Linked DNA regions of Arabidopsis thaliana. The protein of the gene in region 1 interacts with the protein of each later gene in a pairwise test. Each region holds a gene or a part of one and is shown in the gene's direction. Other genes may lie near its edges.

Region 1 (5,233 bases):
ATTACATAGTGAGACCCACAGTCTGTGCCCTCGTCGGAAACTAAAGAGAGAGCCTCCTCAGATTATGATTTCGTTGTCCGGCTCCATCTTTACTCCAGCTCGGCTCGGTTCGGATCAGCTCCCGTGATTTTCAAATCTATGTGAGTAGGTGGAGAGTTTGGGCCGGGCCCTCTTCTGATCTCATCTGGTCTTAATCTTAGCACGTGACCCAACCCTTGTCCACTGAATAATACTATATATTTTCTGTCATTTTATTTGGTTTTACGAAACAATTGGAACATGAGCAACATATAAAAATGTATGTAGTATGGTAATTTAAACTAATGCATTTACCATGTATAACCTAATAACCATGTAGGTTAAAGTTTAAACAAGATATATATAAAGTTAGTCTAGATAATCAACATTTGTTTGGTTGTTTTGTTACCATTAGTATTACTGCATCTGCATGTAATCTTTGTTCGTGTTCATGATTGAAAAAAGACATACAATATGTCATTACGTTCACACTTTGCTTTCAGTTTGTTTTCCTTCGATATCATTATCTTTGGTATATGACAAGTTCTGGCCCAAAATATTAGTGCACAGGATCCATTATTACTTTATTAGTTAAGACCCATCATTAGTGCACAAGATCCATTATACTATCAAGTATCAACAAAAAATATTTCTATTTTAGAGGCTAATATTTTGTTTAGGCCATTTGCGAAATATTTTTTCTATTCTAAAAAAAAAAACGTAAAATGTTTATTAAATTCAGTTGCCGCTTTATACTTGTTACAAAGATTTTTGTTTTTCAAAAAGGAAAATTTTACAAAGTCAAAAAGAACCTATGGTATATTTTGAAAACAAAGTTTATTTTGGGTGTTATGTTATGATATTCCTCTTCTTTTTTATTTGGTTCACAAGATTTACAGCAAATGAAGTGTACATAACATTGAACTGTACTTAAGGAATTGAGTTTTTCTTATATTTTTCTTAGTGCAAATATAAATGCCGCCGAAACTGGTGGGAATGAATGAAAAGAAAACTCAAGAAACTCTCTCAATAGTCATCATAGTCTTTGGTTGTGGCTCACTCCTACATGAAATATCGTTATCGTCCTTCTCATATTTATTACTTTATTTCCTCAAAACTACAAAATAATGCTATCGTTTTTTGTTTTGGCACCACCAAATAAAGATACTTTGAAAATCATAAATGTCTTTTGTATTATTCAGCCAAGTGAAGATATCAAATAAATGTTTCTAACTTCATTTTAACAAATGTTTCCAAGTTTACTTGGCCTTTTCTGGTAATAATATGATTCCCTCCTTTCGATGTGTTTAGATATGTACATATACTACTAGCTAGCCATGTCTTTTTAAGATAACACAAAGATAAATGTCCATTTCTACATTTATATAAGGAAGTTATAATTTTTTTTTAATAAATCAAACAAACACAGACGTTACATAATATTTTATGAGTAACAATAATATTGTAACAGATGAGAAAAGTAATGACGGTTACAAATTAAAAGACAAATATGGTTAAACCACTAAAATGGTAAAGTATTTGGAAAACTTACTAACCAAAGAGAGTAAATAGAGCTGAGATTGTATTGTAGCTCTCTGCAAATGGAGACTATTTAGTCAAAACCCAAATGATTAATCATGCTTAGAAGTTAGAATCTCATACATTTGTAACACAATCTCTGAGACAAATGACATCTGTAAGACAAAAATTGAAGGTTACTCTACATCACATTAAATGAATCCTTAATAAAAAAACATAATAACAATATCATAATAGGCATCTCTTTAACCTACTTAAGGAATATTAAAATGAGGTAAAAAAAGGAAGTGATATTTCCAAGGCAGTGAGACATAAACACTGCAGGTTACTATCTCTCCATCTGCATCTTGCAGTGCTTTCTCTCTTTGTTTTCTGACTTACATAATTTTTATATCACATAAAGTAACAATTTATTAAACCTATCAATCAAATATTATATACTAATTTTGTTTATCCTATCAACTGTCTTGTCTCATAGTCTAAACACTTTTCTCTAGCTCTCTCTAACAAAAGAGTGAAGAAGAAAAAGTTTTTTATTTTGGGTATTTACATGACAAGCCAAACAAATAAGACTTTTGTTGTGGTTGTCTTTGCTTATTAAGCCAGACTCTCTAAAAACAAAAGAAGTGAGGGTAAAAAAACTATCCCAAAAGCAACCAACACATTTCTCTGTCTGTCTCTCTTTCTCTCTCTCTCACTCACTCTCTCTTTGTTCCATGGACTTGCAACTGAAACAATGGAGAAGTCAGCAGCAGAATGAGTCAGAAGAACAAGGCTCTGCTGCAACTAAGATATCAAACTTTTTCTTTGATCAGATTCAGTCCCAAACTGCTACTTCTGCTGCTGCGGCTCCTCTTCCTCTCTTTGTCCCTGAACCCACTTCTTCCTCTTCTTTCTCTTGCTTCTCTCCTGACTCTTCTAATTCTTCTTCTTCTTCCAGGTTCCTCAGTAAGTTGTTTTAAAAGGACAAGACTTATTCACTCTAATGTTGAAGTTGTTTTTGCTGATATTTAATCTGACGTTTCTATGTTACATATATATGTAGAGATGGGAAACTTCTTCAGCTGGGCACAGTGGCAAGAACTTGAGCTACAAGCACTGATCTATAGATACATGTTGGCTGGTGCTTCTGTTCCTCAAGAGCTTCTCTTACCTATTAAGAAAAGTCTCCTCCATCAATCTCCTATGCATTTCCTTCACCATCCTCTTCAACATAGTTTTCCTCATCACCAACCTTCTTGTCAGTCTCTCTCTCCTCTCTATTGTTTATGCTTCTCTTATCCTTGAAATAGTCTTTCTTTGTAAAAAAGATTCCCTTTGTTTTGGTGTTGGAGTTATATTTCCAAGATCTAAAATAAGTATAAGGCTGCTCTGCAACCTTGCAAGGAGTTAAAACCCTATGTGTATGATAAGCCTATTTCTAGAAGATCTATTAGCAACATAGATAGAATCAGACAAGTACATTTCGTAACCAATGTCTTGAGTGAGATTTATGTTTGTTGTTACTAATGAACAACACACACTTAATAAAAAACAGGGTATTGGGGAAGAGGAGCAATGGATCCTGAGCCAGGGAGGTGTAAGAGAACTGACGGCAAGAAATGGAGATGTTCAAGGGATGTTGTAGCGGGCCACAAGTATTGTGACCGCCACATTCACCGTGGAAGAAACCGTTCAAGAAAGCCTGTGGAAACCGCCACAACCACCATCACAACGACAGCCACAACAACCGCATCTTCTTTTGTCTTAGGTGAGGAGCTTGGTCATGGACCAAACAACAACCACTTCTTCTCCTCTGGTTCATCTCAACCTCTCCACCTTAGTCATCAACAAAGGTACAATAAAAAAACACAAACACTCTGTTTAATTAAAGTCATTAGTAGATTTGGTTAATTACAAATATTGTTGTTAGGGAAATAGTGATTTCACTGTGAAGTAATGCTGTGAAGAAAGGGGTAATGTTGGCAATAGGGTGACAAGAGAGACTTATCATACATACTTTGTGATAAAAACATTATTCTTTCTTTTGTTGAGAGATAATGATAACAGTTGGATTTGATAGAATCTAATTTTATTTACTAGTTGGGTGAGACTTTTCAATCATAGAAATAGAAAAGAGAGAGAAAGTTAAAGAGATATGTATACTTATGTTGTATTTGAAATAATGACATGGTAGGACCTCAGTGAAAGCTGACCAAACCTGCATAGAAGCCAAACAAAATAAAGCTCTCAGATTCTGCAACCACTTCCTCTTATTAACACACACATTTGACTGATTAAATTATTTCTCTAACCATTTTGTTGAATTGATCAGTCTACTTATTATTGTTCAAATGTTGGATCTTTTTGTTGACAATGTTTATGTTTATGTTTATTCCTCTCTGTCACAGTTGTTCTTCAGAGATGAAACAAGAAAGCAACAACAACAAGAGGCCATATGAAGCTAACAGTGGATTCAGCAATGGAAGATCAGACGATGGTCACATCTTGAGGCATTTCTTTGACGATTGGCCACGATCATCAGACTCTACCTCCAGTCCAATGAGCTCATCCACTTGTCATCTTTCAATCTCCATGCCCGGTAACAACACGTCCTCAGATGTTTCTCTAAAACTTTCCACAGGCAATGAAGAAGAAGAAGAGAACATGAGAAATAACAACAATGAGAGGGAGCAAATGAATTGGTGGAGCAATGGAGGGAATCACCACAACAATATGGGAGGACCATTAGCTGAGGCTTTGAGGTCAGCTTCTTCGACGTCAAGTGTTCTTCATCAGATGGGAATCTCTACTCAAGTTTTTCATTAAAGAAAAGTGTTTGTAATCTTTTTGGTTTGTGCTCTTTGAATCTTTATTTTCTGCAGAAAATAATCTTTGAATTTGTCTTCTTTTGGAATTGTGAGTTCTGCTTTTGGAATTGTTTTGTTCCTTACTCTGCTATTATATTTATGTTTAAAGCTTGACAATTTTGTATAAGCAATGAAACTAATATGATCCTCTGCCTGCAAGTAAGTACAGGAGAGGTGGTTACTTGAGCTTTTCACTTAAGCTAAACCGAATCAATTTTGGGAAACCAGTTAAACCACCTCGAATTAACCGGTTCCCGGTATAATGTAAAACCAAAACCCTGATAATCACCGGCATCGTATAGATTGATTAGACGGTGAAGTCTCGAACTTAACCGGAATAAACCTTTTCCGGTCCATCTCTAATTCACAATCTTGGGGTTTGTGCTTGCTTGCTTCAATCGCGAAGACATTTAGCAGAACCATTTGTCGTTTCCTCTCGCCAGATTCCGTGCTCCGGAGCCAGAAAGTTTCCGCCTTTAAAGTACGTCAAGATTTAAACTTTCTGATTAATTTCTAAAACCCTTTTTCGAAATGTTTGTTTGATGGTCTGATTAAAGTTTTTTTTGTACAATAATTCTCAAATTTATGCAATTGATATGTGAATTTTTAGTCTTGATTTGAACAAGTGTTTTGGAAGTTTGATTCACTTACTTTTGATCAGGAAATGAAGTATGTGAAGCCATTGAGCTTATTGGGTAATGCGCTGAAGACCAAAGTGTCAGTCCCTGGTCGGTTTCTGGGTTTAGATGTTGGTGATAAGTATGTTGGATTAGCTATCTCAGATCCTTCAAATATGGTTGCTTCTCCATTGAGGTACCTTTGATTCA
Region 2 (4,642 bases), on another chromosome or scaffold:
CTTGATATGGAAGGTAGCCTGCTCGAGAAGCTATGGGATGGAACTCAGGTTAGTTATCATAAATTCATATCTTTAATGATGTTATACATATTTTCTCTCTATTCTGATGTTTCTACTCTAACATCTGGTTTACATTCAGCCCCTTGCAAATCTCAAGAAGATGTCTTTGTCAAGTTCATGGTATTTAAAGAAACTTCCGGATCTGTCAAATGCTACAAATCTCGAAGAATTGGATCTGAGAGCTTGCCAGAATTTAGTAGAGCTTCCTTCCTCCTTTTCTTATCTGCATAAGCTAAAGTATTTGAATATGATGGGATGCAGAAGGCTAAAAGAAGTTCCACCTCATATCAACTTGAAGTCTCTTGAATTGGTCAACATGTATGGATGCTCAAGATTAAAAAGCTTTCCAGATATTTCTACAAACATCAGTTCACTCGACATATCATACACTGATGTGGAAGAACTACCTGAATCAATGACGATGTGGTCTCGCCTACGTACTCTCGAAATATACAAAAGTAGAAACCTCAAGATAGTAACACATGTGCCCCTAAACCTAACATATCTAGACCTCAGCGAGACTAGAATTGAGAAGATTCCAGATGACATCAAAAATGTTCATGGGCTGCAAATTTTATTTCTAGGTGGCTGCAGAAAACTCGCATCATTGCCAGAGCTTCCTGGTTCGCTCTTGTACTTATCAGCAAACGAGTGTGAATCACTTGAGAGCGTATCTTGCCCTTTTAATACTTCATACATGGAACTCAGCTTCACCAACTGCTTCAAACTAAACCAAGAAGCACGCAGAGGAATTATTCAACAATCATTTTCTCATGGGTGGGCATCCTTACCTGGAAGAGAGTTGCCCACTGACTTATACCACCGATCTACCGGACATTCCATCACCGTTCGTCTCGAGGGCAAGACTCCTTTTTCTGCATTCTTTGGATTTAAGGTTTTCCTCGTGATTTCCCCTAACCATGATGCTGAAGAAACTAGCAATTCTCCCTTATTTTGTCCTCGCATTGGCAAAATCGGTTGCTCCGATGACGAAACACCTATTTATATTATCCCCAAACCTCGAGCAGAACATCTAGTTATGTTTCACTCTGACTTGCATAACAAGGAAAAATGTCATGAAGTAGGCAACGAGATACTGTTTGAATTCAGCAACATATCCGACACCTATGAGATTATTGAGTGTGGTGTCAGATTCTATACAGATGAACAGGTGAAATCAGTGAAAGGAGAAATGAATATGAAATAGACCAAGTTTGTGAAGATGAAAACGATTGGAGCTATGAGTTTGGACCCGTGGAAGCATTGGAATGCTCTAAAAATAATGGACATAATGATAGCCTAATCTGTACTTCGAACGAAGACAAGATCGAAGCCAACAAATACACAGATTGTTGGAGTTGGCTCATCATCTGTTTTGATGTCTCCCATATTGTGAGAAGCATCGGAAGTTTAGTTTGGGGAGGAAGATGAGAGAAGCAAGAAGGAGAATATCAAAGTGGAGAAGTCGAACGAATTTGCAAGTGAGGAAAGAATATCTGTTTATACTTTACAATGACTTGTTTGGCTGCTTCACTGAGTTGGATATGATGAGTAGTAGCATCATACTGTTTGAATTCGGATGCAGCAAATATTACTGAAATGCAGTGTACGGATCGTGAAAACTGACAAAATTGATAGTAGCAACAACAGTGAATTAATTTGGGCCTGAAACTATCCGTTTTAAATGGGCTTTTGAGCCTTTCACATTATCTATGTAATTTTCGATTTTATCTTCCTTTTCTTTTCACCTTCTCGACGAACACACCTACACAAAAATCAATCACAGTCTCTGTCTCACTCGCCGGAGTTTCGGTCACTGCGCCATCTCCGGGGTCGAGTTCGTCGTACTTCATCGAACTATGAACTCTCATGATATCGATGATCAGTTAGAAGCAGATGTATACAGTAACTTGCCTTCTCGAAATGATTCTTCAACAGGGAGGAGAAATCGAAACTCGTGTAGATCGAAACACTCAGAGACTGAGCAACGAAGAAGAAGCAAAATCAATGAAAGGTAAATAATAAGTGTTCAAAGTTTGAATTTTTATCAGATTTTCTAAAAAGGGTAACAAGAAAGTTTCGTAATTTGTGATTGTTGGTTGGTGGATACAGATTTCAGAGTTTAATGGATATTATACCTCAGAATCAGAATGATCAGAAACGAGATAAAGCTTCTTTCTTGTTGGAGGTTAGTAAAATTTATAGTTTTGAACAGAACATGTGTTTCAGAGAATCAGAATGATGTTTGCTTTTATATGTTGTCTCAGGTTATAGAGTATATTCACTTTCTTCAAGAAAAAGTTCACATGTATGAAGATTCTCACCAAATGTGGTATCAATCCCCAACCAAATTGATTCCTTGGGTATATTCCTTCTCCTATCTTTGGTTGGTTTTCTGTTATATTGAATCGTTTTTGTTACATTTTTTTAGAGAAACATGGTTATTGTGTTAAGTGTTTCATCTTTCTTGGTATTTTTGACAACTGTTTCATGTAACTTTGATGCAGAGAAATAGTCATGGGTCTGTTGCGGAGGAAAATGACCATCCTCAAATCGTTAAAAGCTTTTCAAGTAATGATAAAGTTGCTGCTTCTTCGGGTTTTCTCTTGGATACGTACAATTCAGTAAATCCTGATATTGACTCAGCAGTTAGCACCAAGATTCCTGAACACAGTCCTGTTTCAGCAGTTTCATCGTATCTACGTACCGAGCCTTCGCTGCAGTTTGTTCAGCATGACTTTTGGCAACCAAAAACAAGTTGTGGAACAATTAACTGTTTTACAAATGAATTGTTAACATCTGACGAAAAAACATCAGCCAGCTTGTCCACTGTCTGCTCACAAAGGTAAGACATATGTAGAGCAAAATAAAGCTTTTTTTGTTCAGTAATTAATTCATTTTTTTGGTAGAAAGTTTGGGTTGGTATATAGTTTCTCACGGATGTACACTCATTTCCTTCCTGTCTGGCTCTCCTTAAACAGTGGCTTACCTTTTTTGGATACTAAGAGAGAATGATATAATACAAGGTTCCAATGATGCCTCAGCTATTTGCGGAGACTTCTTGTTTGCCTTGGCTATGAAGTTCTGTAGGATAGAGTATGAGATAAATGCTGTAAACTTGGTAATTGTTAGAGGAAAAGATTTTGCATAACCATAATCCAAAGTTTCTCTTTTGAATAGTGCTTCTCTCTCCTAAATAGGTAGTCATTCAAACTGAAGATCCTATCTGCTTCTGTATTTGGAACAGACTCAGGGTTCTAAAAACGGATAACTGGAGGAAATAAAGATGGAGAGATTTGATTGAAAACTCTTGTTTGGTTTGATTGTGAACAGGGTACTTAACACTCTAACTGAAGCACTTAAGTCATCGGGTGTTAACATGTCAGAGACCATGATATCTGTGCAGTTAAGCCTTCGGAAAAGAGAAGATCGCGAGTATTCTGTTGCTGCGTTTGCTTCTGAGGTATGCCTGTAACATTTTTACAGTGGAAAAGAAAAAGAAGTCTACTACTCTGCAAGTAATTCTTATAAAAACATTTCTATGTATTTTAATTTGTATTTTGATGCTATGTATCTTTTTCATTAGGATAATGGTAATAGCATCGCTGATGAAGAAGGGGACTCTCCTACTGAAACTAGAAGCTTCTGCAATGATATTGATCATTCCCAGAAGAGAATAAGACGATAAGATCTGGTTTTCTATTTTCTATGTTATGACAACTGTTTGATAATTTTGTTACTTTCGGTGAGTCAGGATCAGTAGGTGTAGATACTACTTTTATCGTGCTGCAACTATTTTAAATGATATAGTAAAAACTAAGTAGAATGATGTAACAAGTTTCGCAAATCTATAACAAGAGTTTGCTCCATTTAATGGTACTTTAAGTATATGGTCTCTTAGATATATCACTTCTTGCCCTTCTATTTCTCACACTATTAACCGGGAAATTATTTCGTGCTTGTTGACATGTCTGTATCAAGTAATGCGTTTGATTTGCAGAAAGGAGTCCTTGTTTTCTTGTGTCTCAAGCTTGATTTGAGCTAGAGTATCTAGATCTTTAGATTCAAGAACAGATGCAATATTCTGTAGAAGTTGAAAACTCATCTTTATTCTTTAACCTTATGTAAATATGACTGTCTATACAACAGATAGTTCATCTCTCGACTAAATGTTTGGTATATATATGTATATATTATGATACTCTTGTTCGATTAAGGAGGCTGTTTGTTTGCTGAAGGAGATGAAGCAGGAGGAGGGCCAGGTTTGTTTGGTGGTGGTAGGAATGGGAATGGAGGAAATGGAAAGATCGACGGAGGTGGAGGAGGAGGAGGAGGAGGTGGTGGTGGTGGATTTAGGCCTGGAAAGATCGGTGGCAGTGGAGGAAAGAGAGACCATGGTGGAGGAGGAGTGGGAAGAGGAGGACGAGGCTGAAATGGGTTTGGAGGGAATATCGATGGAGGAGGAGTGGGAGGAGGCTGAGGAGGATGAGGCTGAAATGGGTTTGGAGGGAAGAACGACGGAGGAGGAGAAGCTGGAGCTGGAGGAGGCTGATGAAATATTGGAGGGAAGAACGACGGAGGA

Evidence for each region.
Region 2: the proteins of GRF4 (region 1) and BIM3 interact in a two-hybrid assay, tested with the Arabidopsis thaliana proteins (one large-scale study listed by BioGRID).

What each region holds. Positions count from the first base shown.
Region 1 is NC_003074.8:19,615,309-19,620,541, reverse strand, and holds GRF4 (growth-regulating factor 4), read left to right. Parts: upstream 1-2,034; 5' UTR 2,035-2,273; coding exon 2,274-2,505; intron 2,506-2,602; coding exon 2,603-2,797; intron 2,798-3,094; coding exon 3,095-3,392; intron 3,393-3,947; coding exon 3,948-4,365; 3' UTR 4,366-4,565; downstream 4,566-5,233. Other genes in the region: AT3G52905 (Polynucleotidyl transferase, ribonuclease H-like superfamily protein), read left to right, coding at 5,071-5,219. UniProt on the Arabidopsis thaliana protein: Transcription activator that plays a role in the regulation of cell expansion in leaf and cotyledons tissues.
Region 2 is NC_003076.8:15,557,164-15,561,805, forward strand, and holds BIM3 (BES1-interacting Myc-like protein 3), read left to right. Parts: upstream 1-1,737; 5' UTR 1,738-1,919; coding exon 1,920-2,074; intron 2,075-2,172; coding exon 2,173-2,248; intron 2,249-2,327; coding exon 2,328-2,423; intron 2,424-2,567; coding exon 2,568-2,905; intron 2,906-3,393; coding exon 3,394-3,523; intron 3,524-3,646; coding exon 3,647-3,748; 3' UTR 3,749-3,963; downstream 3,964-4,642. Other genes in the region: AT5G38850 (Disease resistance protein (TIR-NBS-LRR class)), read left to right, coding at 1-48, 140-1,267.